Linked DNA regions of Elephas maximus indicus. The protein of the gene in region 1 interacts with the protein of each later gene in a biochemical or structural test. Links are inferred from orthologs where the notes say so. Each region holds a gene or a part of one and is shown on either strand. Other genes may lie near its edges. The genes, in order: MAPK1, MBP, GAB2 and ESR1.

Evidence for each region.
Region 2: of the proteins of MAPK1 (region 1) and MBP, one has a biochemical effect on the other in vitro, tested with the Homo sapiens proteins (16 studies listed by BioGRID and IntAct). The link is inferred for Elephas maximus indicus from reciprocal best matches to the Homo sapiens genes MAPK1 and MBP.
Region 3: of the proteins of MAPK1 (region 1) and GAB2, one has a biochemical effect on the other in vitro, tested with the Homo sapiens proteins (2 studies listed by BioGRID). The link is inferred for Elephas maximus indicus from reciprocal best matches to the Homo sapiens genes MAPK1 and GAB2.
Region 4: of the proteins of MAPK1 (region 1) and ESR1, one has a biochemical effect on the other in vitro, tested with the Homo sapiens proteins (3 studies listed by BioGRID, with this or other methods). The link is inferred for Elephas maximus indicus from reciprocal best matches to the Homo sapiens genes MAPK1 and ESR1.

Annotation. Positions count from the first base shown.
Region 1 is NC_064840.1:20,789,023-20,796,538, forward strand, and holds the start of MAPK1 (mitogen-activated protein kinase 1), read left to right. Parts: upstream 1-4,192; 5' UTR 4,193-4,425; coding exon 4,426-4,541; intron 4,542-7,516. UniProt on the Homo sapiens protein: Serine/threonine kinase which acts as an essential component of the MAP kinase signal transduction pathway. MAPK1/ERK2 and MAPK3/ERK1 are the 2 MAPKs which play an important role in the MAPK/ERK cascade.
Region 2 is NC_064829.1:84,281,098-84,288,446, forward strand, and holds the start of MBP (myelin basic protein), read right to left. Parts: upstream 3,125-7,349; 5' UTR 3,037-3,124; intron 2,427-3,036; exon of another isoform or gene 2,083-2,426; intron 1-2,082. UniProt on the Homo sapiens protein: The classic group of MBP isoforms (isoform 4-isoform 14) are with PLP the most abundant protein components of the myelin membrane in the CNS. They have a role in both its formation and stabilization.
Region 3 is NC_064825.1:43,710,613-43,718,672, reverse strand, and holds the start of GAB2 (GRB2-associated-binding protein 2), read right to left. Parts: upstream 3,050-8,060; 5' UTR 2,940-3,049; coding exon 2,865-2,939; intron 1-2,864. UniProt on the Homo sapiens protein: Adapter protein which acts downstream of several membrane receptors including cytokine, antigen, hormone, cell matrix and growth factor receptors to regulate multiple signaling pathways.
Region 4 is NC_064819.1:223,109,948-223,117,312, reverse strand, and holds the start of ESR1 (estrogen receptor), read right to left. Parts: upstream 3,030-7,365; 5' UTR 2,514-3,029; intron 1-2,513.

The DNA.
Region 1 (7,516 bases):
AGGTGTTTTTATTTACTTATTTCTCTACCTTTACATAGTTTCAAGGGTCATTGCCAGTTCTTTCTCTCTTTTCATGATTCATGTCTCAGTGACTTATTGTACAATTCTGAGCAATTTTTGCAGAAAAGGGACTTAACTGCATAGTGTATTAGTCAGAACTCTGTGGTTTCAAATGGAAGAAACATCTCAAATTGTCATCAGGAATTTATCTCCATCTCTCAACTCGACTTTTCCTTGTCACTTCTTCATTCTCAGAAGTTGTTTCTCACATCATGGCATGTTTGACCCCATATTCATAACCACTCCCCTAGCACCCAGCAGAAAGGGAGCACCTGTTTCCCAATAAAACCAAACCAGTTGCTATTGAGTCGATTCTAACTCATGGCAACCCCTTGTGCATCACAGTAGAGCTATGCTTCATGAGGTTTTCAATGGCTGATTTTTTGGAAGTAGATCACTAGGCCTTTCCTCTAAGGTGCCACTGGGTGTTATTGGAACCTCCAGCATTTCAGTTAGCAGCCAAGGGACCCTTTCCTATTAGTTTCTGCAAAAAGTCTGGGGTTGAGCGTCATTGACCAGGATCAGATCACACGCCCATCTTTTAAACCAGTGTCTATGACTCTGATTGGGGAGTCATGAGTCACACGCTTACTCTTGGAACTTAGGGGTAGTGTTAGCCTTCCAAACCACATGAGAGTGCCTAAGAGTCAGTTCACCAAAGAAAAATTCGGTTGTTGCAGCCAGGAGGAGGAATTGATGCTGAGCAGGCAAAAATAACAAATGTCCATTGTTTTTTAAGATTCTGCAGATCTGTGAATTGTCACCACTCTAGAGATATAATAAAGAAGACATTCAGATGGCTAGCCATCCATCCAAGCTAGACCTTATACTTAGATGGTGGCTTAGCATGGTCTCACAGTGTTCTAGAGCCTGGATCTCACCTTTGCACTTCAAAAATTTGTTGTTGTTGTCACCGTAGCTAGATCACTGTTCCCTCTGGGCCTGGGTCATGCTAATATAACTCAGTAACTGTATACCTAAACTCCATCTTAGAATGAATAGTAACTGCCACAGACCTGAACAGGGCTGTCTGTCCTCTGGTCAGCACATGCTCCCTGTCAGAAAAGCAGAAGTGAAGCCACTTGTGGGTTGCTTAGTGCCAATGGAACCTGGAGAAAATTAGTGTATCACAGTTGTATCATGCCATGATGGTGTGGTAGTTTAAAACATGTCCATAAATGCTGGAAGAGTACAGAGAGAGCATGCTACAGGGAGAGAGATCTGTATGTGCAAAGACCAAAAGGCAAGAGAGAAGTTAAGACTAAGCTAGCTTGACAGGAGCATCGAGGGCAGAGAGCAGAGAGTAAGAGGAGATTAGGTTGGAAGGGTGGTCAGCAAAGGCCTCACTCTGAGTGTAATGAGGAGCTATCGACTTGCTCTAAGAAGGAGAGTAACTGGTCAAATTTCTTACAGAAAGAGCTTTCTAGATAAAGTGAGGAGAAGCAATTGGAGATGGGCAACCGTGAAAGCTGGGAGAGGAACTGAAAGGCGGTTGCGATAGCCTAGGTGAGAGAGCAGAAGAGAGAGAGTATGAAGCTTTAAACAACATAGAGGCAGTGGGGATGAGGCGGCTACATTTAAAACAGTGCTTCAGAAAGTTTAATAATATGTGAACAAATCACCTGGGAGATCTTAAGATGCAGATCTTGATTCAGTAGGTCTGGGGTGGGACCTAGGATCCTGCATTTCTAACAAGCTCCCAGATAATGCTGATGTTGCTGGTCTGGAGACCACACTTTGAGTAGCAAGGATTTAAGGAACCTTAAGAAATAGAATTTACGGGAGTGTGTTACCAGTGGGATGGAGGCGTGGCGGGGAGCGGGCGGGGGAGTATTCGAAATAAGGTAGAATGAGTTGTTGAAGATAACGCCCAAACTTCCAGCTTGAGTGTCTGGATGGAAGGTGATGCTATTTGTCCACAGGCACAAGCTGAGGAACAGGTTTGGGTGGGGTTGATAATAATGACTGATAACCTTTATTGGGTACTTACCATGTGCCAGGCTGTTTACATACGTTATTTATGCTGCACAACAAATTTGTGACGTACAGGTACCTCTTAAGTGAGAAAACTAAGGCCAAGGTCCTACAGATCCTAAGTGGAGCAGTCAAGATTCAAACCCTCCGGCAGTGTGAGTACACAACTTGTGCAGTTACCCAATGGCATTTTGGATATGTGGAGCTGAAGCACCTTTCCCACGTGAGGCGTCACATCAAACTGTCCAGTGGGCAGGTGGACAGGATGACCTGAAGTTCAAAACAGATATTTTGAGCAACGGGGATATTCTGGGAGGAATTAAGGCAAAGGAGTGAAAGAAATCATCCAGGGAGGGTATGTAGGGTCACAATTTACCCCTTTGGGGGTGCTATCAATCTTATTCCTTTTTTTTTTTTTTTTTTGGCGTTAATATTGCAGAGGAGGAATCTGAAGAGAAAGTTTTTAGCTTTTTTATAACTTTGTTTTTTGATTGGATGCTGTGTTTGTTCTTTACACTTGAAATTTAAGAATTTTTCCAAATTGTCTTAGAGTTCGTTTCTGCTTATTAGTTTTTCTGAATCCCAGTGAACTCACTTCCTTTCCGCCTCAGATCTTTTCAGTTATATTAATTTATATTACCTTTTTTTTTTATTAATGCCTTTAATTGATTTGTTTGGTCTTCTTTTGGGGGATGCCTATAGTTTGAATCTCCATGATGTTCTCCACCTCCATTATTTTCCCTCTTAAAGAATTTGATTCCTGTGTTCTGTATTTTTGAAAATTTTCTTGAGCTTATCTTCTATCTTGCTGATTTGATTTTGTGCACTGTCAAGTCTATTTCTCATTGCTTTGGCTGTGTTTTTTTACTTTGGTTATTGTGGTTTGGATTTCATGGTACTCTCCATTTATCTTGGCCTGTTCTTCAAAAGATGGAATGTCCCCTTCTAATGAAGAAAAAAAACTAAGTGTTTCCTAAAATTGGGTTCTGTTTCATGGACTAAATATATTTCAAAACAGAAATTTTTGGCTTTAGCACTTTATTCCTTTTCTTGCCTGCGACAATCTTTTCTCACAGAGTTAAAAAAAATTGTTTATTCAAATTTTGAGATTGACCAGTTGATCTTTGCTGATGTGTGGAAGTCCACAGTTGGTGGCTCTTGGATTGCATGTTGGCTTGGGAAGTGATTCAGAAGCAATGGATTATCTTCTCACTGTCTTAGCTATTCTTGGCTTCTACCTGCTTCAGGATTCCAATTTTTATTTTCCAATCGCTGGTGTTTGTGACTATCTTTGAGCCTCAGTGTGTCCGTCTCATTTTCTCTAAGTCTTCATGTTTTGTTTTTAGCATTTCCATCGTTGGATGTATATTTCTGGGTGTCCGTCTACCAATCCGGGTCTCAGTCTCTAGAGGCCCAGTGTCTTTCTCTGATGTCTCAACCCCACTACTCCCTAAGCCCTTACTCTGTTTTATATTTCTCCATAGTACTTATCCCAATGTGCATATTACATATATTTGCATGCCTCTTCAGTCTAGAATATAACCTCTATGAGGGTATACTTTTTTTTTTTCAGTGCCGGATCCCCAGGAGCATGGTAGGTGTTCAACAAATATTTATTGAAGGAACCTCTGTCTGACTCGCAGATCCTCTCAGAGTCTGTCGTTTTGGTCTCACATTTGTTTTACACTTTCTCAGTATGTAAATGTCTCTTTCCATCTCGGTCAGGCCTTTCAGTTTCTGTCCTTGCGTCGAAGCCTCTAAATTTGTGTGTGGGCTACAGATTCGCGGCCTGTCCCAAGCCCGGCGATGTGTGGCGCGTCGTCGGGCCTCATGCGCTGTCCCGGGTTGTTCTCTGGTTCTGTCAGGAACCCCCGCTGCAGGGCTGTCTCTGCTCCTTAGCGTCTCTCCTCACGCTCTGTTTTGTAGGACCTCTCCCGACGCCTCCTTCTCCTTCGGCGTCTCAAGGGCCGCCTCCGGCGCGCAACTCCCCCACAGCCACACGTGACCGCGCCGGCGGCGCCTCCACAGCCGCCGCAGTGCTCCGCCCTAGCCGGTCGCTTTCGCCAGCCACGCACGCCCCGCCCCCTGGCCGCGGGGAGCCAATCCGCGCGCACGCTGCTTGGCCTCTCCCCGGCGCCCTCCTCGGCGCGCGCCCCGCCCTCCGCCCGCTCGCCTGCCCGCCCGTCAGTCAGGCAGTCGGTCTGAGCGGCCGTCGGCTCTCCAGTTCGCCTGAGCGGCGGCCTCCATCGTCCTTTACGGTCAGCGGCGGCAGCTGCACCGGCTGCAGGCGGCCCCTCCGGGAGGCGCGGCGGGAGCCGAGCGGCAGCCGCGGAGCGTCGAGTCCAGCGCGGCGGAGGCGGCGGCGGCGGCGGCGGCGGCCCGGCAGCCAACATGGCGGCGGCGGCGGCGGGCGCGGGCCCGGAGATGGTCCGCGGGCAGGTGTTCGACGTGGGGCCGCGCTACACCAACCTCTCGTACATCGGCGAGGGCGCCTACGGCATGGTGTGGTGAGTGTCCGCGCCTCCCGCGGGCCCGGCCGCCCCACCGGCGCGGACACAGCGGCGGCCTCGCCCGCCCTCGGCCTCTCGTGCCGTGGCGACCCCGACCCCGGGCTTGGTCGCGCGCCGGCCGGGGCCTGGGCCCGGGCGGGGCCTGGGCGTTGCTCACGGCGCTTATCTGGCCGGCCTTTGCTCGCCGAGAGGAGACGGGGGGCGGAGGCCTGGAGCCCTGGCCCCCCGGACCCGGCGCAGCAGCGGCTTTAAAGCCCGGTCCCCAGGGAAGGGACGAAAACGTCGCCCCTCCCTCCGTCCCTCCCCAGTTTGCTCGCCTCGTAGCCTTCTTTTTGACGTTCGATTTTAAAACCGGGAATTCCTTCCGATGCTTGTCAGTGGAGGTGGCGGTGGCCTTGAAAGCGGTTCGCCTCGGCTTGTGTGCAGAAAACCAACATAATTTATGATTTTTCTTCTCTTGCTTCAGTTTTCCACGAACGGCCTTCATGAAATATTTTCAGTGGTGCTTAATGGTGCTCTCCTGCGCAGGCTTTCTAAAAAGCATTAGTGACACCAGTGTGGGTTATGGAATATTTCAGTTCCTAAGTTTTAAAATGGATTTTGATATCGTACTGTTAGCGTTTCACGAAGGCCAAGTCAGCCTCGCCCTCTTGATCTATTAAAGAACCTTTTGGAGTTGGGCCTAATTTGACGTTTTTTTTTTCATTACCCCAAGTGCGCTCTCTTAACTGCACGAATGCATCGAGCTGTTTTAGCAAAATGACTGGGCTTTTCTCGTCAATATTTTAGCGGTCAGTATAAATATATGCAGCCTTAACGGGGTTCTCGTAGAACCACGTATAGTCAGTCTCCTTCATCTTGATCCAGATCCCTCAGAAACGTTTGTGGAATGAGAGGCTGTGTTGTTTTTATTAGCCCGAACTAGCTGTAGTGTTTTGTGCTGAGGAAGACTTGTAGAAGTGTAGCCTTCCTTACACCTAAATCTTCTTGTCTGTGTTTATGTTTGATGAAGAAAGCAAACTGGTATTTATTGAACACTTTGTGGCAGGTATTGTGCTAATTACTTTATCTCATTTTATTTGAACAGCCACCTTGAGAGGGAGGAAAAGGCAGCAGTATCCGTCTTTCATAGGAGCGCCGGTGGTGTGGTGATTAAGCACTTCGCTGCTAACAGAAAGGTTGGTGGTTCGAACCCACCAAACCCTCCAGCCACTCCACTGGAGAAATATCTGGCAGTCTGCTTCTGTAAAAATTACAGCCTTGGGAACCCTATGGGGCAGTTCTGCACTGCCTTACAGGGTCACTGTGAGTCGAAATCGACATCACACAGTGGGTTTGGGGTTTTTTTTTTGCATCCCTCTTTCAGGTGAGAATGCATTTCTAGGTAAAGTCAGTTACGAAGGTCATACAAGTAAGGTGTCAGACTTCAGATTCAGTCTGAGATCCAATTTCAAATGCTGCTGCTCTTTCCATTGCACCCTGCTTCCTTAAATAGTATTATTAATAATTTCAGAATTCTAGCATGTTTTACTGTTACCAGCAAGTCTATTTCTGAAATGTATTCAAATTTGAATGATTATAATTTTAGAAATGACATAGGGGCCATGTTTTATGAAGTTACTTAGCTAGGTAGAAAGACTAGTTAAAATTATTTCTTAAGAGACTTTATTGAATCTTGAATATCTTCATTCTCTGCAGGAGCAAAATGCTTCACAGTATATAACTGCGAAAGTTAACATGAATTCATGGGGTTAGGAGCCAAAAAAGAAATTAAATTAGGTCAGGCCTAAAAGAAATAAAAAAAAAAATAGGGCCCTATAAAGTACTGGAGTCTGCCCACAGCATTACGTCTGTGTCTGCATTTCGCTGCCATTAACACCTGCTGGTAAGTGTGCCAGTGAATGTGTCTCATGAGAGGCTCAGAATTGCCGACCACATCCTTTGGCCCTTCTTTTTAAAATTCACTCATCTAAAATGTGGACTGGAAAATCTTTACATTTCTGTTGAAAGTTATTTTTCTACCTGATAAAATTTTTATCAGTTTGAATACGATTTAACTATTTCTATCGCTGCTGTTGTCTTGTTTGACCTTCCGAGTTGTCATTCAAGTGAAATATTAAGTCCTCTTACTGTGACTTTCCTTTCCTAAGTAAAACTCAAATATAAATAGAATTTGAATCCTGGGTCTTAGCTTTTTACCTTCAGGTTGATAAAATACACTAGTGAGAATTTGATTTTCTACACAGCATATTATTAGCATATAATAAATGTTGATTAACTGTTGGGTTTGTGGAGGGTTTCTTGGTTGAAATGTTAATATTTGAATAGTGATCTTTTAAAAAACCTAATGTTCCAGAAGGATTTTTGGGTATTCTTTAGCAGTTTTTGTCATTTCCTGAGTCAGGTCATTAGGCATTGTGCCTGTTCTGTGCAGAGCCCTTTCCTAATAATTGTGTGGAGGATATAAAGATGGAAGAGTGGGATTTGAGTTGGGCCTTTAAGAGTGGGTGTGATTTTGATAGGCAGATAATAGGAGCAAGTGACAGCTTGAGCTGCAGAATCTAATCCTGGAAAAGTACTACTTAAGTGGCAAGCTGTGTAGGACTCTGAAGGCCAACTGAGTTTGACTGTAATTTTGTGTAACTGGGAAGCATCACCATTTTTAAAAGAGACAGTCACATAGTTAATTTTGATTTTGGAGGGGATGATAGAAAAAAACTGGAGTGGGAGAATCAATTAGGCTGTTAGAACCATTTGTTGTTATTAATTGCCAGTTGAGTCGATTTCTCCTCATGGCGACCTTGCGTATAACAGAACAAAACATTTGCTGGATCCTTGCCATCTTCATAATTGTTGGTATGTTTGAGTCTGTTGTGGCTGTTATGTCAGTCTATCTCCTTGAGGGTTTCCCTTGTTTTCATTGGCCTTTTACTTTACCAAATATGATGTCCTTTTCTAGTGATTGGCCTTTC
Region 2 (7,349 bases), on another chromosome or scaffold:
ACGTAAGCCAATTTGGTGAATATAAATCTCTTAGTATACATCGCCTCCTGGCTCCATTTCTCTGGTTAAATGTTGACTGATACAGGTTTAAATCTACTTGTAGATATCCTGGCTTCTTCTCCACCATCTGCTGAGCAGCCTGGGGTTCTCCCAGGCATGTTGTATGTTCCATCAAACACAGCTCCCAGGCCAAGGGGCTCAGGCATGACTGAACCTCCCTCAAGTGGCTATACTGGACATGTCTTATGCTTCATGGCTACTTATTAAAAATTATAGTAAGAGTAATTAAAATATACTCTTTTATTCTTTATTGACAACTGAGGCTACGAGGGGAGGACACCTAACCAAGCCATACAGCAGATCCTCACGATCTAATCATTCTGACAAAGAAACATGGTCTGCGGGAGCAATCCTTCATTAGCAGTAGTCTTTAAAACCAGAAAAAACGGAGGGTGCTCTGCAGGCCTTAGTCCGCAGAGCAGTGCAGGGCAGCAGTGAAAACCTGCAAGGAATTTGGCTCTGCCACTTGCTAATTGCGTGCCTTGGGCTGACTCCTGTGACTGATCCGGGCAATAGGATAGTATCAAGGAGCTCTGATGGCACAATGGTTAAGTGCTCGGCTGCTAACCAAAACGCTGGCACTTTGAACCCACCAGCTGCTCTGCAGGAGAAAGACCTGGCAATCTGCTCCATAAAGATTACAGCCAAGAAAACCCTACGGGGAAGTTCTACTCTGTCACATGGGGTCGCCACGAGTCAAGGGCCAAGTCGATAGCAGCTAACATCAACAACAGAGAAGGCATGGAGGCAGCTGCTTATCTTAAATGTGTTAAATTTTTAAAGAATTTAGAGAAAAACTGAAAAAATCAAATTAACCTTCAATTAACATTTAAAAGTTCAAACAGAAGTACGAAAGTAACGAGAATGGTTGATTTCAACAATTTTCGGTTTTCAGTAGATGCTTTTGATTAACACACATCCTCACACTCACCACCCACCAAGAAGCAAGAACTGAAGTTCAAAGTCACCATGGAGCGATTAAATACCAAATCACTGAGTAACTGGTCTTGTCACTGGGCAGAAGTACGGTGCTTCAGAAAGATTTTCAAGGTGGATTTGAACCAAAGAGCTTTTGTCTTCTTAAGAAGAAGAATCATTTCAGAAGAGCTAATTCTTGAGAATGACTGTAAACCAATGTTTTGCAGTAGCTTTAACTCGATTCTCCTGCCTTTTAACTTGATTTGTGTTCATCCCACTCGGAAGCAAACCTGCTGAAGTATACTTTCCCCTGGCTCCCAGGGACACACACAACTATGGTATAGGTACCCTGACAAGTCAGGTCCTGTTTTTCCAGACCTGCTCTCTCCAGGGTGTCCCATGACCCCAAATGTCCCTCGGTGATGGCCTGGAGGGGGGAGCCCCAGTTCAGGGAAGGCCCCTGACTTGTAGGAGGTCATCTGTAAAATGCTATAAAACAAGGGTCTCAAACCAGACTTCCCCCACAAAACCAAACCCACTGCTGTCGAGTCGATTCTAACTCATAGCAACCCTATAGGACAGGGTAGTATTGCCCCACAGTTTCCAAAGACAGCCTGGAGGATTTGAACTGCTAACCTCTTGGTTAGGAGTGGTAGCACCTACCCACTATGCCACCAGACTTTCCCATCACCTGGAAAATCCTGTCTCTAGCCAGGCCCCCGGTGGTGCAATAGTTAAGTGCTTGGCTGCTAATCCAAAGGTTGGTCGTTCGAATCCATGAGAGAAAGACCTGGTGATCCACTTTCGTAAAGATTACAGCCTTGGAAACCCTCTGGGGCAGTTCTACTCTATAGGATTGCTGTGAGTCAAAATCCACTCGATGACCACACGTGTAGCCAGGTCTCCTGGTGGCTCACTGGTTAAGCACTGGGCTGCTAACTGAAAGGTCGGCGGTTTGAACCCCGCCAGCAGCAACTCGATAGCAATGGTTTTTTGGTATGAGTCAGAATCGACTGGACAGCACCCAACAATAGCAGCCAGGCCCCACTGAGGGATGCTGGCAGCCTGCCAGCACACTTGCTTCTGCACGTGCTTTACCAGCTCCCAGAAGCAGCACATGTTGTTGATTCTCACACTGTCACAACTGGGAAACAGAGAACTGGGAAGGGGCCTCATTCCTGCCAGGGTCTTACTGAGCTCCATCCCCACCCCACCTTCCGAAATGGAGGCTGAAGTGGACCCTAAGAAACCAGGTGCTGCCACCAAGAGAACCCCTGAGGGCCAAGAGCCACCTCAGGTCAGCAGAGTGACCACCATACAAACAGGTTAGCCGAGGGGTGGCCGAAACCGAAAGCATCAGGGTCAGGACGGGCAGCCCTGCACAGGAGGGCGCCCTCCGTCGAAGGTGCCCCGAGCCTGCCTCAGGAAGAACAGAGCAACTCCTGCAGGTGGGCTGCCGGTGGGACTGGTAGACAGATCGTGCGCATGGGATTGCAGGTGGGCTGCAAGTGGGCTGCAGGGTGCTTGGGCCAGCCCCAGGAGCCCTGGGTGACTGACCAGAGGAAGGCGGAAGCGGGGTACTGGGACGTGTGTCGCCGCCCTCCTTCCTCAAAGGGAAACTACACTTCCTCCTGTGTGTGTGTGTGTGTGTGTGTGCGCGCGCGCGCGCAGGGAGGGGGCAGGGGGTGTCCGCTCGGCTCCAGGTGTGTAATTTGAAGGCACTAAATGTCGTACGGATCCCCCGTCTGCCCTCCCCCTGGCCGAGAGCGGCCCCTGTGACCTTTGTCCCTCTCACCCCTGAACTCTGCCCAGCCGCAGCGCCCTCTCCCCTCTCAGGCCTCTGCGGGCCCGCGACCCCATGGCAGCCCGGGGGTTCGCCTCTGGCCAGGCCAGGGGGTTGGGGGCTTGAGCTCGGCACCGCAGGGCCGCCCCCTCGCCCGGCCCTGCACAGGTGAGCGCCGCGCGCCCGGACCCCGCCGGGACCCCGCGGCCCCCACCCGCTCCGAGGGAAAAAAGGGACAAAGGGGTCCGGCCGCCTCTGTCCTCACGGTCACCCACCGGGCTGTGCTCGCTGGTCCGGGCTGCGCTCCTGCCCCTCCGGTCCCGCACCAGGTCTGGGCGCCGCGCGGGCAGCGGGTCCCAGGGCGGCCGCCGCTCTCCGGGGTCGGGCCACGGGCCGCCGGGACCGCAGGCTTGTCCTCGCTGCGGGAGGCTCGCAGACTGACAGGCCCTACTCTGAGGCCGCGCCGCTCTCCGCCCCCGCTTCCCTGCTTCCTGCTGCCAGGTAAACACCGCCTGCCGCCGGGCGCCCCACCTAGACACCTCCCCGCGCCCCAGTGCGCCCCTGTGCGAGCCCGAGGACCCGTGGCGGCGCTGCGCCGCGCTCGCCCGCTCGGAGCGCCAGTGACACGAGAACCCACGGGGGACCCGCCCCAGGAGGGTGGGACTCTAGGCTTTGGCCACAGCAGATCAGGACCTAACTGCAACCACTTGAACCTTTCCTTCTGGCTGAGCCTGGAAACCAGTCCCACGCCGCCCCCCTCGGCTGGAGGGACCTGAGATGGCATCTCCTCCATGCTGCACTGCACTGCACGCACAGGCGACGGAGGCAGAGACGCTCGCCGTGGTTCAGGGACTCCCCACTCAAACCGAACCTCCCCCAGGACCCTGAGGACCCACCAACAGTGTTAATGTGCTGATGATAATTCTAAGACAAGGAGATAAAACACAAAAACGAAACCCAGTGCCGTCGAGCCAATTCCGACTCACAGTGACCCTATAGGATAGAGTAGAACTGCCCCGTAGAGTTTCCAAGGAGCGCCGGGTGGATTGAAACTGCCGACCCTTTGGTTAGCAGCCGTAGCACTTAACCACTACACCACCAGGGTTTCCGGACAAGCAGAGTAGATAAAAAAAAAAAGAAAAACTAGTTTAGATACCTCCAAAATAGTAACGCGTTGTGCGGTATTTCCACAACAGTATAAAGATACTTGATCTAATCCTTTCCTGAGAGAAGATTGGCTAGAGGAGAGGACACGAAGGCCTGGGAGTGGGTTGGCGGTAAGAAAAGGCAGTGGAAAAGGAATGTTGGTTATACCCATTTTTCATCTGGTTGGTCTCCTGCTACCTGACTTCACGCTCACTTTAAGCGGTGGGATGGGGGGCAGACAAGAGCTGAGGGTGCACAGGACAGTGAAATCTTACTCCGGAAGTTCCCAGCCTCCCAACTCTTACCTCCCACCCCCAGGCCAGGGCATGGTGGAGTGCTGGGTCCCATGTTGCATGCGGTTGTGGCGTCACAGTCATCTCCTTCCTCCCTCCAACAGTCTCCTTGATTCATCTTGGGGTGACTGGGACGCCAGGGAGGACTGACATTCACACCCACAGGGGTGGTTTAACGCTGGGCTTGGGGGATCCCTGTTGACCACAGGAAAAAGTAACATTTGTCCTTCTGCTTTATGCTATTTCTGCTAATTTTTTCAGTGGTTTATAAACACATTGCATGTGCCAACAGTCATTTTTACACAATCCAGGCTTGCCAACCTTCAGTTAGGACTCTAAGTATTTCTAAAATTGCACCTTCCACACTTACCAAAAAAACCCAAACCCATTGCTCTGGAGTTGATTCCGACTCATGGAGACCCTATAGGAAAGAGTAGAACTGCACCACAGGGTTCCAAGGAGCAGCCACAGTTGCTAAGCACTACGCCACCACCAGGGTTTCCATCCACACTTAGTTGGTATATAACAACCATGCAGGCAGATGGCTAGATTTTTTTTTTTTTTTTTAATTCATGGTGCTACAAAGAAAAGGTAAGGACACAATACAAAGTAGTAAGACTCTTGGTCTGCCTTTAAAAGGTCCAGTCTTAGATGCTTTTCCTCCCTGTTATGGAAAGGACACAAGGTGGGGACATGGGCTAGGCAGGAGTCAGGCGCTTGGCTGCGGAGTCAGACTTCTGTGTAAAGATGGCCGTGTTCCTTTAGGAAAATGACTCGTTTGAGATTTTGCTTGAGGAAGCTTGACCTGTTCCTCGTGCTCAGTAAAACGGAAAGAACTCTATTGAAAAGTAAAAGCTAGCCGCCCAAACCCTTGTGTCTGAGATGCTTCCAAGACAATCGTCTTGCAGTACAGCCATCTCCCACTGCCCCTGGGACAACCGGAGGGCGGGAACCGTGCCCTTTACAGAGTTTGATGTCGCAGCAAATGGCACCATGTTTTATGCATGATGGGTACTTGGTGGATTTTTGTGGAGTTGAAATAAACACCAAAGCATCCAAACTACAGGGACTAAGTAAATTAAATAATTTCCATTAGACTTCAGAGTGCATATATTTTGAGTTCTTTCTCTTTCTCATTGACAGATTTATCTGTGTAATTATATTTCGTTCAGAAGAGGGTTGAGCCTCACTTTCTTCCCTAGTCTGTAATGTACGATTTGCTGGTGATAACTCACAAGGCAGATAATTTCCCTGTGCTCAACTGACAGGTGGCTATTTCACTATGAATTCTGGTCAACACTGGGTGGACCCTGGCGTGGCCACTCAGTGCAAGAAAATTAGCCGAAAGCACGCCCAGGAAGTGCAATATAAAAAAATCATGTGAACAAGAAGACGTCAGGGGCCCGCAGACCACAGCCCCCCTCCGCCCACCACATTTACCCAACCAAAAGCCACTCATCACTTCACTCTGGTGAAATACCAGTGGTGGCAGGGGCGGTGGGGGGGAGCAGGGGAAAGAGAAGGAGATTATGTAGGACTCTGGCCAGTTGGTAAAAAAGTGAAACTTCTCAAACATTTTTCTCCCATCACTTTGGGGAGAAGGCCAGGAATTCTTTTTAGGGCATGAGAAGTTGGGTATGCCTATTGGGTATCCGAGTGGTGGTTGGAAACTTATATGTTTAATTCAGAGGAGAGGGCTGGGTGGGACAGATAATTTGGGGAGTGTCAGTTATATTGGAGCCCTGGTAGTGCAGTGGTTAAGAACTATGGCTGCTAACCAAAATGTCAGCAGTTCGAATCTACCAGCTGCTCCCTGGAAACCCTATGGGGCAGTTCTACTCTGTCTTATAGGGTCACTATGTGTTGGAATCGACTCAACGGCAATGGGTTTAGATTTTTTTTTTGGTCACTCATATTAGTCTCTGGGTGGTGCAAATGGTTAAACTCTCGAATACTAACCAAAAAGTTGGTGGTTCAAATCCACCCAGAGGTGCCTCGGAAGAAAGGCCTGGCTATTTACTTTGGAAAAATGAGCCATTGAAAACCCTATGGAGCACAATTCTATTCTGATATACGTGGGGTCTCCCTGAGTTGGAATCAACTGGATAGCAACTGGTTTTGGGTTTTGGTTAGTTATATTGGTGGTGTTTTTGGTCTGGAGACTGGGCGAGCTCCCTTAGGGAATGGACATAGCCTGGCTGGAATGGGTTCAGATAGGATGGGAGGGGAAACTTGGTGATGAGGCATGACATAGTCCTTTCAGGGAGTTTTACTATCAAAGGGAGCTAAAAAAAAAAAAAGGAAGTAGCCAAATGATTACAGAAATGACTATTTTTTAAAGAAGGGGCAAATGACAGCACATTTAAAGCTGACCAGAATCACCAAGCAGAGAAGTCTCTGCCTTCCCCCACTTTCAGGTTTGAAAGTGGTGGTCAATGTCTTAAAGTTCACTTGCCCCCTTTAACCTTCTTTAATGCAGGTAGGCACAGGGGTATCCAAGTTTTGCAGGGCAGGACCATTATAAAATCTGGGGGCCTCTTTAAGAAGCTAAATACCAAAAATGTGAATTCAAAATTAGGTACAAGATCTTGGAAGGGATCTGGGTGTTTCAGTTTCAGCAGCTTTCCTGGTAATCCCCCTCTGTCTGGCTCTGTGGTCTTGGCAGTAAGAGCACAAATTAAAAAATGAGGGCACTAAGCTGCTCCTCTTAGTCTCTCCCCCTCCACCTGTTTAAACAGATGTCTTCTGGCTTCATTTCTTCAAAGACCAAGTGAGAGGGGTTAGCTGTTTCATTGATATTTTACAAATACCAGTAGCCCTCAGGGTACAGGGAGGCTTTGAAGTTTTTTCACAATACACTCACTGTCTGCAATTATAAGAAAATGACTTGTATTTGAAGATTTTGGCTAAATTGTGCAAGACAAATGGAACACAGTAGTTTTTACTGAAGCGAATTTCTGTCTGGCTTTTACCTATGTAACCTCTGAACATGTCTGATACTAATTGAGAGTGAAAGAAGGCAAAACATTGCTTAATTGTGCTGTGTATCTTTATTACTGCAAAAGATCCCTTTAAAGTGTTCAAGCAAAGATGTCACTTTGAGGACTAAAGTGCACCTGACCCAAGCCTTGGTATTTTCAGTTGCCTCA
Region 3 (8,060 bases), on another chromosome or scaffold:
TTCCAAAACATCAGCCACTGAAAATGCTATGGAGCACAGTTCTACTCTGACACACACGCAGCTGCAGTAAGTCGGGGTCGACGCGACAGCAGCTGGTTTTATACACACAGATACAGATACATACATACTAGAGAAGGGCCTTTAAGTTTACAAGGTCTGAAGGAGGGGTGTTCGGTTGCTCCTGTCAACCTCTCACTGCAACAACGTCATGACACCCCAGAGGGCAATACTCACCATTTTCCAGAGGTCATTATTTGCAATTCCTCTGGGCACACAGAAAATACTGGATAGACCTTTAATACTTTCACATGATTAATAAAACAGAAAATGTCAATGGGGACAATCCCTAATCTCCAATAACACTTGCCAAAGCTTCTCCCAAGTTGTTTTTTCCTCCTACACTTACCACCATCTGAAATTAACCCAAAAAGGTAGGTTTTTAAAAAGTTTTAAATAGTTGTAATCTATTTTCCAAACTGCTATCTTGGATGACAATGGGTTTGGTTTCTTTCTTTGCTTGTTTTGGTTTGGCAATGAAGCTGAGAAATAACTCATTCCAACTTTGCTTCTAACCAACTTGGACCTACAATGAACAGAGAACCAGCAGAGTTCTAACTTACAACAGGGTGCAGAAATTCTCAACACCAAGGAAAAGTACATGTAAAGGTAGACTATTCCTCAGGAGTTTAGGGTTATACAGAACGACACAGACTCAACCAGGGAACTGAACTTTCACAGCAGGAAAGGCTTCCAGCCATACCAATGGAGCACATGATACCCTAGTCTAAGAAAAGCTGTTGCTGGTTTGGTCAGTTGCCTTGCGGGCTAGAGCTGCAAGGAAGATTAGAAATAGACTAAGATCGTTATTATGACTTCAAGGTGTCAACTAGTTCCAACATGTGAAAAAGGTCCTGACCCAAAAGCCTCCAAACTTGATTATTTTGAACTAAATTTTTGCCCAGCAACAAAAATACCCAAGAAATGGGTCATAGAGAGTCTGGGTAATAGGGCTGAAGTAGTCACCAGTCCAATGTAGATACAGTGTTAAATTGTTTGCAAAATGTTTCAAAAAGAAAATTTCAAGGTTCTTTAGGGTAGTATTCTACTTTGACAATTAAGGGTCACATTTTTATTGACACTCTACTAGCTGGTATGAAATCACTTCAATTGATAATTTTTGGAAGCTTTTCGGAGCCAGAGATTTCGTTTTTTCGATATTTATAAAAATGTTAATTACAAATTCCTCCTTAACCCTAATATAAAACTCAACTTCCCTGATGAACTGATAAAACCCTGATGTGGAAAAAATTTCCTTCTTAGCAATTATAATGCTGAGGCTACACGGGTACCCTGGAAAATGCACTTTAAAACTGAGTCAAACACTTCATCCCCTAATTCCTACTGTATTTTTAAATCTACGTCCGCTTTGAAAAGTCATGTGCGAGTCCTTAGATTTTCCCCAGCAAATGATCTAAGAGCCCGATTTCATTTTCTCACACACACACACAGACACTCTCTTGCACTCCCCAACAACAACACTTCCTTTGAAAAACAGAATGTCACTTCCTCAGTCCAGAGGCCAAAAGTCCCTTGGTTCTGATCTGGGGAGCCAAGACAGGAAACTCTGGTAAGCTTCTGCCTCTCCCCCCATGGACAGCCACTGGTGCAGCTGACAGAGGGCAGGGTCTATTCAGAGCTCCCTTGATGCACTGCAGCTGGAAGGCAGCAGCTCACTTCCAGGCTGTGGGAGTGATCCCAGAGAGTCAAGCACCAGGAATCAGTCTAGCAAGGGCATTTCATAAGAAGTGAAGGGGGACAAGATGGGAGACCTTGAGACCCTTTAGCGACCTTCCTCCCGGGATCCTTCCTCCTGAGATTACCCCAGGGCCGATTTCGGGCAAATCTCTGTGACTGGCATCGTCTTGTACTTTGACCTCTACAGGAACATACATCCTCTGGTGGGAGAAAAAAAAAAAAAAGCCAGAACTCCTCACCGCTCAGCACCAGACTGTACTACCTCCTCCTTGATGTTGCTAGTTCCTCACCTAGAGGGGAGCGGCTGTCCCAGCAATTTCAGTAAACAATGTCGGTTAGCACCACCTGGCAACTGAGAATCTTATCTCTTCCGACCCCAGACACCAAGGGCTGCACAACACAAAACCTGGGCCAGTTAGAGGAGACCAAACTGCAATGTCACCATGGGGGGGGGGTGTATGTGAGAGACATGCAGAATAAAGAGAAAGAAGGGGGGACAAACAAATGAGTCACTTAATACAAGGGCTGCACATGCCGCTGACGCTGCCCATGATGCAGACAGAGGCTGTGGACTGGAAGGAAGCAGGCGGCTACCCGGGAGGGCGGGCAGAGAAAGGGAAGAGGGAGAGGGTGTCAGGCGCCTCGTCCTTTGTGGGGGCTGGACCACGCGGCCCCACAGCTTGCGCCCCCCTCTTCCGCCCACTCCTCCAACCCCACATGCAAAACCCACTCAGGGTTACTATGCTCCCCCAGCCCAGGGAATCAACTCTCTCGGTCTCCAAAAACAATCAATACAAACTTCAATACTGTATTTAGTTTACAGGCAGGCTGGCTGGGGAGGTGCCGCCGACGCGCCCGCCAAGCGGAGGAGCCGCAGCCTCAACCTGCTGCCCCGCCCGCCCCGCCCCTCGGAGGCGCACCTGTGACAGGTGTGCAGGTGCCCCACACATCCCCCGGGCGCGGGGCGCACCAGCCGCTTCTCCACCCCAAAGGCGCGCCCCGCCCCTCGTCGGCGCGGCCCCTCGGCCAGCCCCCAGCCCCTTCAAGGGCGGTGGGGCGCCCCCAGCCCGCGCCCTGGGCGGCCGCGCCCGCTCGCCGTCCGCACTCACATAGCGCCTCAACTTCTTCTCGGGGGGCGATTTCCTCAGCCAGCCAGTGCACACCACGTCGCCGCCGCCGCTCATGCTGCCGGCCGACTGGAGCCCGCGGCCGGGTCGGGGGACGAGGGCGCGGGCGCGGGTCGCTGGGTCGGCCGGCCGGCGGTGCGCAGCTCGCGGGGGAGGGGACGGGCCGGGGCCGCCGGCGGCCGCGGGGCGAGGACGAGGCGGCGCGGCGCGAGCCCGGCTGCCTCGCTCGCGCGCGCCCGCTCTGGCTCGCGCGCCCGCGCCCAGCGCACTCGGGCCCGGCCGCGGAGGGGGCGCCCCAGCAGGAAGCGGCGGCGCGCGCTCGCCACGCCCACAGCCCGCCGCGCCCCCCGGCGGGCCGCCTTCAAAGACGCAAACACTGCCTGGCCGCCCGGGAGGCCCGAGGTCGCTGCGGACGCCGCAAGCTGTCGCCGGCCGCGCCCCCGAGGTCTTGCTTTTTTTCCCTGAAGCTTCAAGCAGCAAGCCCGGGAGGGCTGGGGGAGGTGGCCGCGCCCCTGGGGGGAGGGTGAGTGGTAGGGGGCTGCGAGACTTCGACTGAGGATCGATTTTTCACAGAGGGTCGACCTGGCTGGGACCCGAGTCCTGTTAGCGTTACCTATCCTTTCCCAGAGCTTCAGGTTTCAGCGGGTCAGGTTCCGGCTGGAATTAGTCTGCCGCTTTTTCCCATCAAGAGTTTCATTAACTCTCGCACCCCCTTGGCGGGAGAAGGAAAGAAGGAAGCAGATCTTCTGTGTTCTGGGCGCTTTTACATTCACTGTTCACATGATTGTCTTAGCAAACTAAAAGTTGGGCGGGGAAGATTATTCCCATTTTACAGACAGCCTAAGGTCCCAGAGCTGGTACCTGGCAGAGCCAGATTCCTAATTCCAGGGCTGTGAGAGGGAAGGCGGAATCCTGCTCATCTGCTTTCAAGTGGGAAGAGGGCTTTGATGTCTGCGTATCAGCTTGGGAGCCTCTTACTGTCAGGAAACAAAGTCCAGCTGGCTCCTACACTGCCTCTGGAAGAACAGAATTCAGTAGAAGAAAACTTGTATGATTTGCAGAATCAAGGAAACAAAAATGCATCATGCTTGGTAGAAGGTTAGAGAAAAAGAGGAAGACCCTCAAGAAGATTGACACAGTGGCTGCAACAATGGGCTCAAACATAGCAGGGACTGTGAAAATGGGGAAGGACAGAGCAATGTAGTCTCATTGTGTTGTGCATGGGGTCCCTATGAGTCAGGAGCCACTGACGGCACCTATTACCAACAACATTCCAAGGTGAATTGGAAAGCATGGTGTCACAGAGGAAAGTATAAAAAATTAGGGTCAAAATTCTCCAGAGTTCTAACTCATTCAAATGCACTATGAGACCTTTGGAAGGGTGAGAGGGGGCTCATATGTAAATTGTATAATGGCACTTCTCTTGCAGAATCGTAGTGAGGTTTAACTGAGATAAAGTACGCGGAACACATACTTGACAACACCAGCCCTTCGCGGGGGAGGCTGGAGGGAAAAAAATACCTTAGGTAGGAACTCTTCAATTTGCAAGGTACCTTTACAAGCAGCATTAAGACGTAGCTCCAACCCTAAGTTCTCTGAGAAGTGGATACCAAGCCAGTTGCCCAGTGGACTCTGACTCATGGCAACCTCCCTGCGTGTCAGGGTAGAACCGTACTCAGTAGGGTTTTAATGGCTGATTTTTGGAAGTAAATCACCAGGCCTGTCTCTTTTTGGTACCTCTGGGTGGATTTGAACCTCAGACCTGGAACCACTGGGTTACCGCTCATTGTTTTAACTGTTTGCACCACCCAGAGGCTCTGAGAAATGAATACAAAAACAAAACAAAAATCCCAAACCTGTTGCTGTCAAGTCAATTCCGACACATAGTGATCCTATATCTACCCTATAGGACAAAACAGAACTGCCTGATAAAGTTTCCAAGGAGCAGCTGGTGGATTCCAGTTGCCAACCTTTTGGTTAGCAGCCAAGTTCTTAACCATGCACCACCACGGCTCTGAGAAGTGAATAGTAACCCATTTTATCAATGGGGAACTGTGCTATGGACAGGTGAGTTAAAGAAGCAGCATTTCACATTGCCCTGTGCAACCTGTGGCTAGGGTTATTTTGTTCACTTTGCTGTCTTCATGCAGTTAATCTACTTATTTCAAGCAGTTGAATATCCATCTGGGTTCACAAATCTTTGCTGGGTTGGATGTTCACCCACTTCAATCAGTGTGTCAGAACTTATTCCCTGCACAATGTGCTTAGCCCTTCTAGGCACCTTGGGAGATTTAAAGATCTGTTCTCCGGGACCCAACATTTCATGGACTTCTTCGCTGCCCAGTATGCTGCTGGACAGAATTTAAAGCCAGGACATTCATGCTATAGATGAAACCAGAGCTCCCTTGGCCTTTCGGTTCAGAGATCCTTCAGCCACATGAGGGCCACCATGAGACTTATGGCCATTTTAACCTCTGGGTTTAAAAGTACACTGAAATCCTGTAAGATGTAAATATAAAAATACTCAAAGTCTGCCAAATCAATCAGTAGGCAGTGACTCCCAACTGAAATAAAACAATCTTTCTGACTTCATTCACATCTGAGTTATGATGCCACGTCTCAGGGATTGCAAAGAGTCTGAGAAAACTGCATGGTTTGGCTGCAGCTGAGATTTGTGATGCAAGTCAGGCATACAGATGCCTTATCTTTCCCTAGAACACTAATCTTCTATTATATATCCTTTGATAGTTACATGATTCAAGATACAGACTGGGCATCTGTACAGCAATGGTTAGCTGAGGTTAGGTAGCATTTTGCCAGAAACTCGTTAGAGTCTTTTGTTTACCAAAAGGCCCCATATTGTTATTTACAATTCTATGTGCAAATAGAAAAGTTGGGTGTTTCAGAGCCAATGACAGAAGAGGCCTTAAAACACAGCAGTCACAGAGTGTAGGCTTCAGGAAGTTTTCTTTGTAACACCTCCCTCCTTCCCCAAAGGTCGGAGAAAGAGGCTCTTCTGTGTGCTCTCTCGCTCCCCACTCCCACCCACATCTCTCTTCATTGACTGCCAGTGACTAGCACAGAACCCCAGCACGGTCTGCACACAGGAGACCCGACTGCAGCTGAGGTTCCCTGGCTGCACTCCGGTATGGCTCAGTCTTCGGAGCCTGAGATGCGTGCCAGGCCTGGAAACAGCCCTCGGACAGAACGTTCCTGTCTGGGCCTTTACTAAGTCCTCTCCACCCCCTGCTTTTTTTTTTTTTTTTAATGCTGTCTGGTTTTTGCTGCGGAGAAATGGAAAACAAATTATTTGAGTGATTTATTTACATGAAGGCAGGCGCCACCTACCGGAACCACATGGGACGATATCTGCCTGCCCCCCACCTAGCCCCCTGCCCTGCGTGGATATGCATCGCTGGCCTATAATTTAGGCAATTTCGATTACAGACCTTGGGGTGTTTCCTGGGGGAATTAATGACCGGCTCCAAGGAGCTCTTTGGGCCATTAATTTTATATTCTCATTAAATCTCCAGGAAATGACCATCCTATTGTGGGCAGGGTCGTGGGGAGGGACATTGCAGAGGTTAGAGAAATTCACACCTGGGAGGAAAGCGTAAGTACCACGTTTTGTTGCTTCCCGCCCCTCCTCCCACCACAGCCTGGGTTTTAAAGGGTGCACTGTGGCTTTGAGTGTTGTCAGCGACAGCCTGCATCCGTGCCTGTCTGGGAGTTGAGGGTTTGTGGCCAGCGGCAGGTGCATGGCTGGTGGAACGCTCCCAGAGCCGGGTTGGAAGGGCTGGGAGGAGAGCTGTCCTCAACTGCACACCAGGCTGGGGTGATTAATACCACCCACGCCAAGCCTGACGTCAGGGATAGGACAGGGGGTGGGGATGGATAGCTGTGTCCTAGCCCTTCTGCCTTTTCTCCCCTTCGATTTAGTAAAAAAAAAAGACAGGTTAATTTCAGAGCTGAGTGCTGCTTGCAAGATCAGTGTGACCAGCTGAGCCACCTCAACAGAGGACTTGCAGGACACTTGTCTCGCAGTCTTGTTGCAATATGTATCTTTTTAACCCCACTTGGCTTTGGGCCCACTTGGTTCCCTCCATCAAATTACCCTCTGACTTAGGTCAACTCTTGGCATCTGGTTGGGGCTGAGATCTATCTGGTGGTAAGCTTGGGGTGTATTTGAACCTACTTGGGTTTCCTCCCTGTCTGTGGCTGCTCACAGTCTGAAGTTACTTGATTCTACACCCAGTGGGAGATATTTTGGAAATAAACTCTAAGAGAAAAGTTTGAGCAAGCCCAGTTTCCAAGTTTCTCCCTTGTAAAGAATCAGAGTCTGTACTAATTGCTCTGTGGCAGCTAGGCTCCCGGGACATTTCCACTGCCACTGGTGAAGGTTTGTGTTGCACAGATCCTGGTGCAAATCAGTTGCACCCAGAGACAACTCCTACCTTAGATTGCATCTTGAATACATTAAGTCCCCTGTCCCTAAAACACACCATCCCTAACTAACCCATGACTGTGGAGTTGGCTCTGACTCATAGCGACCCTACAGCACAGAGTAGAACTGCACATGGGGTATGCAAGGCTGTGTGCTGAGTCTTTTTCCCCTTGAGGAGTGGCTGGTGGGTTCCAGCTACCTGACCTTTCAGTTAGCAGCTGAGCTCTTAACCACTCGAGCTCTTAACCACTTTGCCACCAGGGCTCCTCTCACCATCCCTACTCCCCAGCATATTCATTCTTTTCTTTGTATTCACACTGGACCTAATAAATCAGGTTATCACAGTGTACTGCAAATATGTCAAGGAACTGTGAGTTCCTTGAGGGCAGGGCTGTTTCTTTCTCCCAGCTTGGCACAAGGCACACACAATAAATCCTCATTAAATGTTTGTCGTGAGAAATGAACAAACAACCTTTGAAGGATAACGGGTAGGGGCTGGGACCCCTGAAGCATCCATATCTCTCTAGTCCGCGCATAACAGAGAGTAGTATCTTTGAAGGTACTTAAAACAGGGCTTCCAACTGGTTATTTTTGGAAATAAACTTTATTTAAAAGAAAAGTTTGAGCAAGCCCAGTTTCCAAGTTTCTCCCTTGTAAAGAATCAGAGTCTGTACTAATTGCTCTGTGGCAGCTAGGATTTGCCTTTCCACTTCAGATTTACTGAATCAGAATCT
Region 4 (7,365 bases), on another chromosome or scaffold:
AAAGCCTTAGTTTCCTAATTTGTAAAACTGGAACAATAATGTTGACTCCCTGGGGTGGTTGTGAGGGTGAAATGTGATAATTACCTATAAAAAAGCACTGGACAAAGTAAGAGCTCCCTAAATGTTCAGTATTAATATTGCTATTACTACTCCCTGATTGGCACTAAATCTATGTTACCGCTAGTGGAAAAGAGACTGTCTCAGGTCTTAGGCATCACACTGAATTAAAAGTTCACATACAACTCTGCATGCCTGGGGGAAAGCATTACCTAACAGAGAAGCAAAATGCTTCTTTTGATGTATAAATGAAGGTGACACACCTTTTCTACGTTTTTTGACATGCTCTCCTCATAAGAATGTGGCTATCCTCACAGTCACGAAGGAGAAGAAACATGGAGGGAAGGATGCTGGAAGTTTCTGTACTCTCTCTTCCAACACTTTATGCCCATTTCAAAAGCAACAACATTTCAGCCAGTGGCATACTCAGCTGGGTGGATTTCCAACCCTTTTTTTTTTTTTTTTTCCCCAGGTCTAGTTACCAGTTATAGTCAGATGGATAAAAGCTCCTAGCAGCTACAGTGCTGACCATGAGTTTCATTCATTCATCAGCCAACATGTATTAAATACTGTATCAGGCACCGTAGTAGGGCTGGAATAAAAATGGCATCCTCATTTGAGTTTCTAGCCCTTGAAGAAGATTGCAAGAGTGGTTTAATGAGTGGCTTGATCTCATTTATTCCATACAATTCCATCTGGCGGCTACACTTACTATCCTTACTTTGTAGATGAGGAATTTGAGGCCAGAGGTGAAATAATTTGTCCTGACTCACACAGCTAGAAAGCGGTGGGGAGTTCTGGTTTGGATTGAGCCCTGTTGGATTCCAAAGCCCTAGTTGTCCCCTGTGAATTTGAATGGAACTATTTAATGTCTGACTCCTCAGCAAAGGGTTATTCACCGTGGAAGGTCTGAGCAGAAGTCTAAGCTTTCTAGCAAAGTAAAAGATAGCTATTTGAAATAAAAGATGGTTGTTTGACTTTGTTCTTGCTGCAACTTTAAGACATGAGAGCTTTCCATGACTTTCCAAGAGTGATGAAATAAAACAAATATTTCCAACTGTCTAAGAAAAATATCTTGCTAATAAATATGACTTTTGTATTTGTATTCAAAATGTAGCTTTTTTTTCCTTACATGAGATGCTTCCGATACCTAAATTATTTGTTACTGCTAATTTCTTTGAAAATCTAACAACTTCTACCATATTAGATCCAGGCATTTCAAGGCCTAGTGGACGGTCTTCAAGGAATATTCGCAAAATCGGAGCAAACATTGGCTTTGGAGAAACAGAAAGAAATTTTATAGAGTAGAAGATCTGGGAAGTTCTCAACCAACTCCACTTCTTTCATTTCTCTGTGCATTTTACGATTCAGTTCGAAGGCCTCTAATTCACAAGTTCACTGACAACATGGAAATATAAAGACATCTATATCAAGTTCAAAACCAGAGGAATTTCCCAGCCACTACATGCTGGGAGTCACTGTGCCCGTCTATTAGATCCGGCCCATAAAGCTGTTAAAAATCTGGCACCTTTGTACGGGAATCTGTGCCATGATTCTAAGTTCTGATAAAACCCAAACCATACAGTTAGTGCAAAAAAAAAAAAAAAAAAAAAGTTCGCTTCTATGGGCTTGTCCGAGAACAAAAACTTGTCACCTTCTAGACAAAGCATGAAGCTTAGAACTTAACGCACATTTCCTGAAATGTGTCGTATCCCTCTAGCCAAAACGAAAGTAGTCTGTCCTGGCTTTTGTGCCTGCCACATCGCGGCGCAAGGAACTCCTGCTCATGCGGAGACGCTCCAGTACACACCATCCTGCAAAAGGTGACCGATGGTCTGTCACGTCAGAGAAGGCTGAGGTTGCAGGACTCAAAAGGACTGGCCTCAAACCATAGGGCGCTTTAAAGACAGGGTGTCACCTTGTGTTGCAAGATTGTGAAGCTTGTCAGAAAACTCCACTGCTTTCAGGAAGCAAATAACGGCTTATTCAGCCTGCTTGGTTCACACTCCCATGAGTTACAGTACCCAAGATTAAGAAAACAGGTCGTATGCTCCTGCTAGCCTGTGAGCAGACAAATCAAGAACTTGTAAGTTTCCGACACGCTTCCCAGATCCAGAACCTCATCACTAGAGCAGGATCCAATAAATATTCGTTATCTGGGGCGGGCGGGCAGCCTGTCAGCGCTGCGCTCGGAAAACGGTAACTGCAGCTCTCTGACTCAGCCGAATGTTACTCCAAAAGTGGATTTCCACTGTACCGAGCTTCCATTTCACATTTTTCCATGGTAGCAAGGCTTGCCAGCGACTTTGCAAAATACCCCCGGAGCATTCAGAGAAAAACGAACATCTTTTAATGTGAGAGGTAGGCTCTAAAGTTACATCACGCTTGTAAACAGTAGCAGACATAGCAAAAAAAAAAAAAAAGGAAAGAAATTGAGAAGAAAACAGAATACCTACTTGTAGAGAAGAAAGTCACTCAGACAGTGTCCTCTGATGCTATAGAAAGGGCAGGAGAAAGGAGTGGGACCCTTTCAAGCCCGGTGAGGAGCTTCTGAGCCTGGAGTCTGCATTTTCAGTTGGGGGGAGAGCCGTTCTGAGCCTGTACACAGGCTGCTACGACCATGAAATTAGGAAATGCAGCCACTCAAAAATAAAGAACTAGCACCACCATTTGACTAGGATTGGAAAATCGCCTTGGAGAAAGAGAAGAGGGGGGTGGCCGCCTTTCTCCAAGCCAGGCCTGATTCAAACTTCTTAGCTCTTTGGTTAAGACAGATCTTTAATGAGGAATAAGTAATGTGTTAATCTGCCTGAAACATATTTTTATGTAATCCAGCCTATTTCTTCTTTGTTTCTGATAAACCTTGGAGCCAAGACAAGCGTGTGTAGTTGGAAAAAAATAAGTAAATAAAGCAGGTATTCAGCACATAAAGTGTGTTAATTCAAAATTAATTACAGCGAAAACCGGGGGTGAGGACGCGTCTTGGGCGAGTTTTTTTTGGGGGGGGGGTGGTTTCCACGTTCTCATGCAGCCATTGCCTCACCAGCCGGCTCTGCACTTCTCGTCACTGATTAATTCGGTTCTTAACTTTAATAACCTGCACAGGTTTACCTTCTGCCTGGCTTTTGAGCCCCTCCTGCTGTCACATGATCTTATGTCCTAAACTGTCCGGCATTTCCGGCAACAGATTAAGGGTTTGCTTGTTATTTTTTTTCCCTCTCTCTGTCTTTTTACACTGAGATAAAATCCTGAAATCGAAAATGAGCTTTAAAAAAATCATATTGAAATTTTAAAAAATAATATTGGGATTTTAATCATTTATAGTCAGCTCGTGGTCTATGCAGCATGTAGTTTAAAGGATTTTTAAAAGTTGATTCACTTTTTCTACTTTACAAGCCTGGAGAAAGGCTGGTTTTCTGGAAATGAGAATGCCGGGGGGGAGAAAGGAGGGGCAGGAGTCCCTTGCTATTGAGCTTCCTAAAATCTCTAAATGCAAATGGCCATCTGCTGGGTAAGAGGTGAGACTCAAAACTGGCTTGGGAAAAAGAAAACCAAAACTATCATAATCACTTGATTATACGTCAATTCTATCTCAGTGAAACTGTTCAAAAAATAAAACCTTGCCTAACTCAAATCATTGTCTCTCTCTCCCTCTCTGTGTGTATGTGTTTAATAAATGGATAAATAGGATAACTGAGAAAGGAGTCAAACAGACCTTATTTGGTTTAGCTACACCCGCACTGTTAGGAACTATCTTATGCAATTCATTCACGCGCATACACACACATACAAATAACCCATCCCAGGTGATTGGCACGAGATGTGTCCCCTTGAAAACATTCTGAAATACATGTTCTTAACTGTCTTCAAGTAATCTTCTCTATACTTGTGAGGTAGACCATAGATAGAACAGCTTGAATATACAGATTTTCCTAAGATAATTTCCCTGGAACATAGAGCGTGAGACATTTTAGCTAATATGTAAAATATTTCATTTTGATTTAACAACCACAAAAGTTCAACGATTCACTAACAAAGAGTCACATTGACTAATACATTCTGGAGGTCTTATTAGATTGTATCACTTTTATTATGATTTCTGATGAAAGGTAAATAATTTAATAAATGTTTTGAACAGTTTAAACTTTTTGAAAGCAAAATATCTTTTAATTAAATCCCTCAATTATTATATTTGCCAGAATGGGTGAACTACACTTTGCAAACAGCATCTAGCTATTTGTTAAAAATCAGTGGTACACATCAGTACAGAGAAGAAAATTACTGAGAGCAACAGTTCTCAAAATAGGACATCCACTGGATTCTGAACTGAAGGTTAAGATTATTTCCTCTTTACTGGAAAATGTAAATTTAAGCATAATATAAATTATGAATTAGAGTGATTACCCTTAAAAGAACATTACTATCATTCATTTGCATTCCAATATGTGCATTCTCCAGAGAGAGAATAAAAATAATAGCAAATTGGGTGCATACTAGGGGCCAACTACTAGTCTAAGCACTTTCACAACAACCCAATGAGGTAGGTACTATCACAAACCCATTTTACAGATGAGAAAACCTTGGGATGCTGAGATTAAGTACCTGTATGAAGATTTCACAGCTGGAGCCAGGATTCAACCTCAGGTGGTTCAATTCAAGGACCCATGCTTTTAACACTCCACTATGGAATCAGAGGAGTTCCTGGGTAGAGCAAATGGTTAAGCACTTGGCTATTAACCATGAAGACTGGCAGTTCTAATCCACCCAGATGTGCCTCAGAAGAAAGGCCTGGCAACCCACTTACAAACGGTCACAGCCATTGAAAACCCCAGAGAGCACAGTTCTACTCTGACACACATGGGGTAGCCATGAGTTGAACTGTATGGCAACTGGGTTTTCTTTGGTTTGGTGGAATCAGAGCCAGCACACAGGGAATTGCAAATAGGAATATGCTATGGGAACACTCTTGCCTTGTAGATGACATGGGGCAAAAAAAGTTTGGAGGTTTATCTGTGAATGGGTAAGAATGGTTTTATCAGATAGATATAGAAAGGTTATTATGAATAATTTTAAAGTTTTCCGTTCTAATTGAATCACTAAAAATAAAAATATGTGCTTGGATTAACCTTGTTTTAAAATATTCTGTGCCTTCTTATAGAAAAAAGAAAAATTCCCTTTGAGGTAAAGTTTCTATTTAAATTGCATTTATCGCTATTAAACTGAATAATGACAAAACAATAAGAAACGAACAATTTAAAATAAGGCAGCATAATATAATATAATGGGAATAAACACAAGGCAAACTCAATCTCATAAATATAATTCAAAGAGAAGCGCCATGCACTTGTGCTTGGTTTCCTCATACACACTGAAAAACAAAGCCTGACATTTTATCGAATCATGCTATCTACTTCACCTTTATTTTTTTTAAAAAAAGAGGGCGAGGTTATCACACACATGCCTTTATGGTGTCATATTGTGTGTCAATTAACTTAGAGTAATGAAATCTATAAATTCTAGAATTTTTTCCAGCTTCCAAACTTTTTTTAAAAAATAAGTTTTCCCATTCTAGAAGACCACTAACATCCTGGTTTCCGCAAGCAAATAAAGCAGAAAATTGACGCAATCTGGGTCATTGAAGCAAAAAACTGTTGTGTTTTGGGTGATTCAGGCTAAAGTAAAAGAAAAGAAAATCACATTTTTGAATTGGAGAGTGTGTTTTTGTCAGACAACCAAGATGATAGCGGAGTTTGGGACTTAGTTACATAGTTAACTGCCCAAATTCTTCACTTGTCCTTATTAGCAAAGCTGTTTCCATTGGGTACTACTCAAAGCACTATCTCAATTCAATCACACCATAAAAGCAGCTCTGAGCTTCTAGTTTTCCTCATGAAGAGCAACCAAAATGGAAACTCTGCTTGCCTAGAGATAGCAATCAGTACCTGACCGCCCACTCGCTCACCTTTCTAAGAGAGATTGGCCGGTTGTCAGCTGCAGTTGCCAAGACAACCTAGTCAAATCCGTGTGACTCCCACCCCCCACTTCTGATCACAGCTAATTGGGCAGCGATGGGGACCTGGCCAAAGAGCAGCCTTCTATAGGCTGGCCAGTGACCTAGGACATGACCTAACATGAAAAGATGAACTTGGCCAATCACATTCGAGATCTCAGAGTATGACTTTGGAAACTTAGACTGAGCTCTTGAGCTGCAGAGACACAAACAGAAAAGATGTCTTGGAGTAGAGTGGAGGCCACAGTAAGCCTAGGCTATTATCAAGTGAATTTACAGGGTGAGGGGATTGTTGCAGAGAAAACCAGTAAGCAAAGGTTAGCAGATAGCAAGCCCTGGAGCCGTGGCTGCTTGGGAGGGTCTGGCTAGAGCTGCAGTGGCCACTGGCAGGGTTACAGCGAGTCCACTGCTTTCAGGCCAAACCAAACCAGGGGCCCTGGAGTACATTCCAGCTCGTGGCAACAGCGTGTGTGTCAGAGCAGAACAGTGCTTCACAGGATTTCCAATGGCTGATTTTTCAGGAGCAGATTGCCAGGCCTTTCTTTCAAGGCACCTCCGGGTGGACTCCAACCACTAAACTTTTGGTTAGCACCAAGGGCATTAACCATTTGCACCAGGGACTCCTTCAAATGTCCCGGTGTTTTAGTTATGTTCATGTTTTAGTTACGCTCTTCTGATTGCAAGGGACGAGGACTCTCTTGGGTACCTGGCAATAAAGGCTATGGAAGAATTTAGGTAAACTAAACACTCCTCCCAGATCCCAGGAGCTAATTTTTGTAGCAGAAGGCACACAGCCCAGCAGTCCTGTTGTCAACGTAGAGGTCCAGGATATTTGAAAATAGAGCCATAATATGACCAATACCCAGTGACTCATTACTGTTCTTTATTCAATATTGAAGCTCGAGTTGACATTTATAGGGATAAAGGTTTTATTCCTCAAAGAAAAAAAGTGCAACCTACCTTCAGGTAGTAGTGACAGATAATACAGTTAAAACTTAAACCTCATCTATAGAAAGACTTGAAAAACCTGCCTTCATAAATCACATCTCTTCTTTACATAGGAAAAGATATAAATCAAGCCACAAAAGTCCCATGTGAGGAAATTATTATTGAAAATTTCTATAAGATGAAAAAGTGGACTCTCTCACATTTATAGAAGTGACAAAGGAACCAACAAATGAGGGATACAATGATTTAAAATGAAAAAACTATTCACTTTGAACAAAAAAAAAAAAAAAAGCTCTCTGTCCCTACTTACTACTTACTCCCTCAAGATTCTGCCCCTCAGTTTCTCTTCT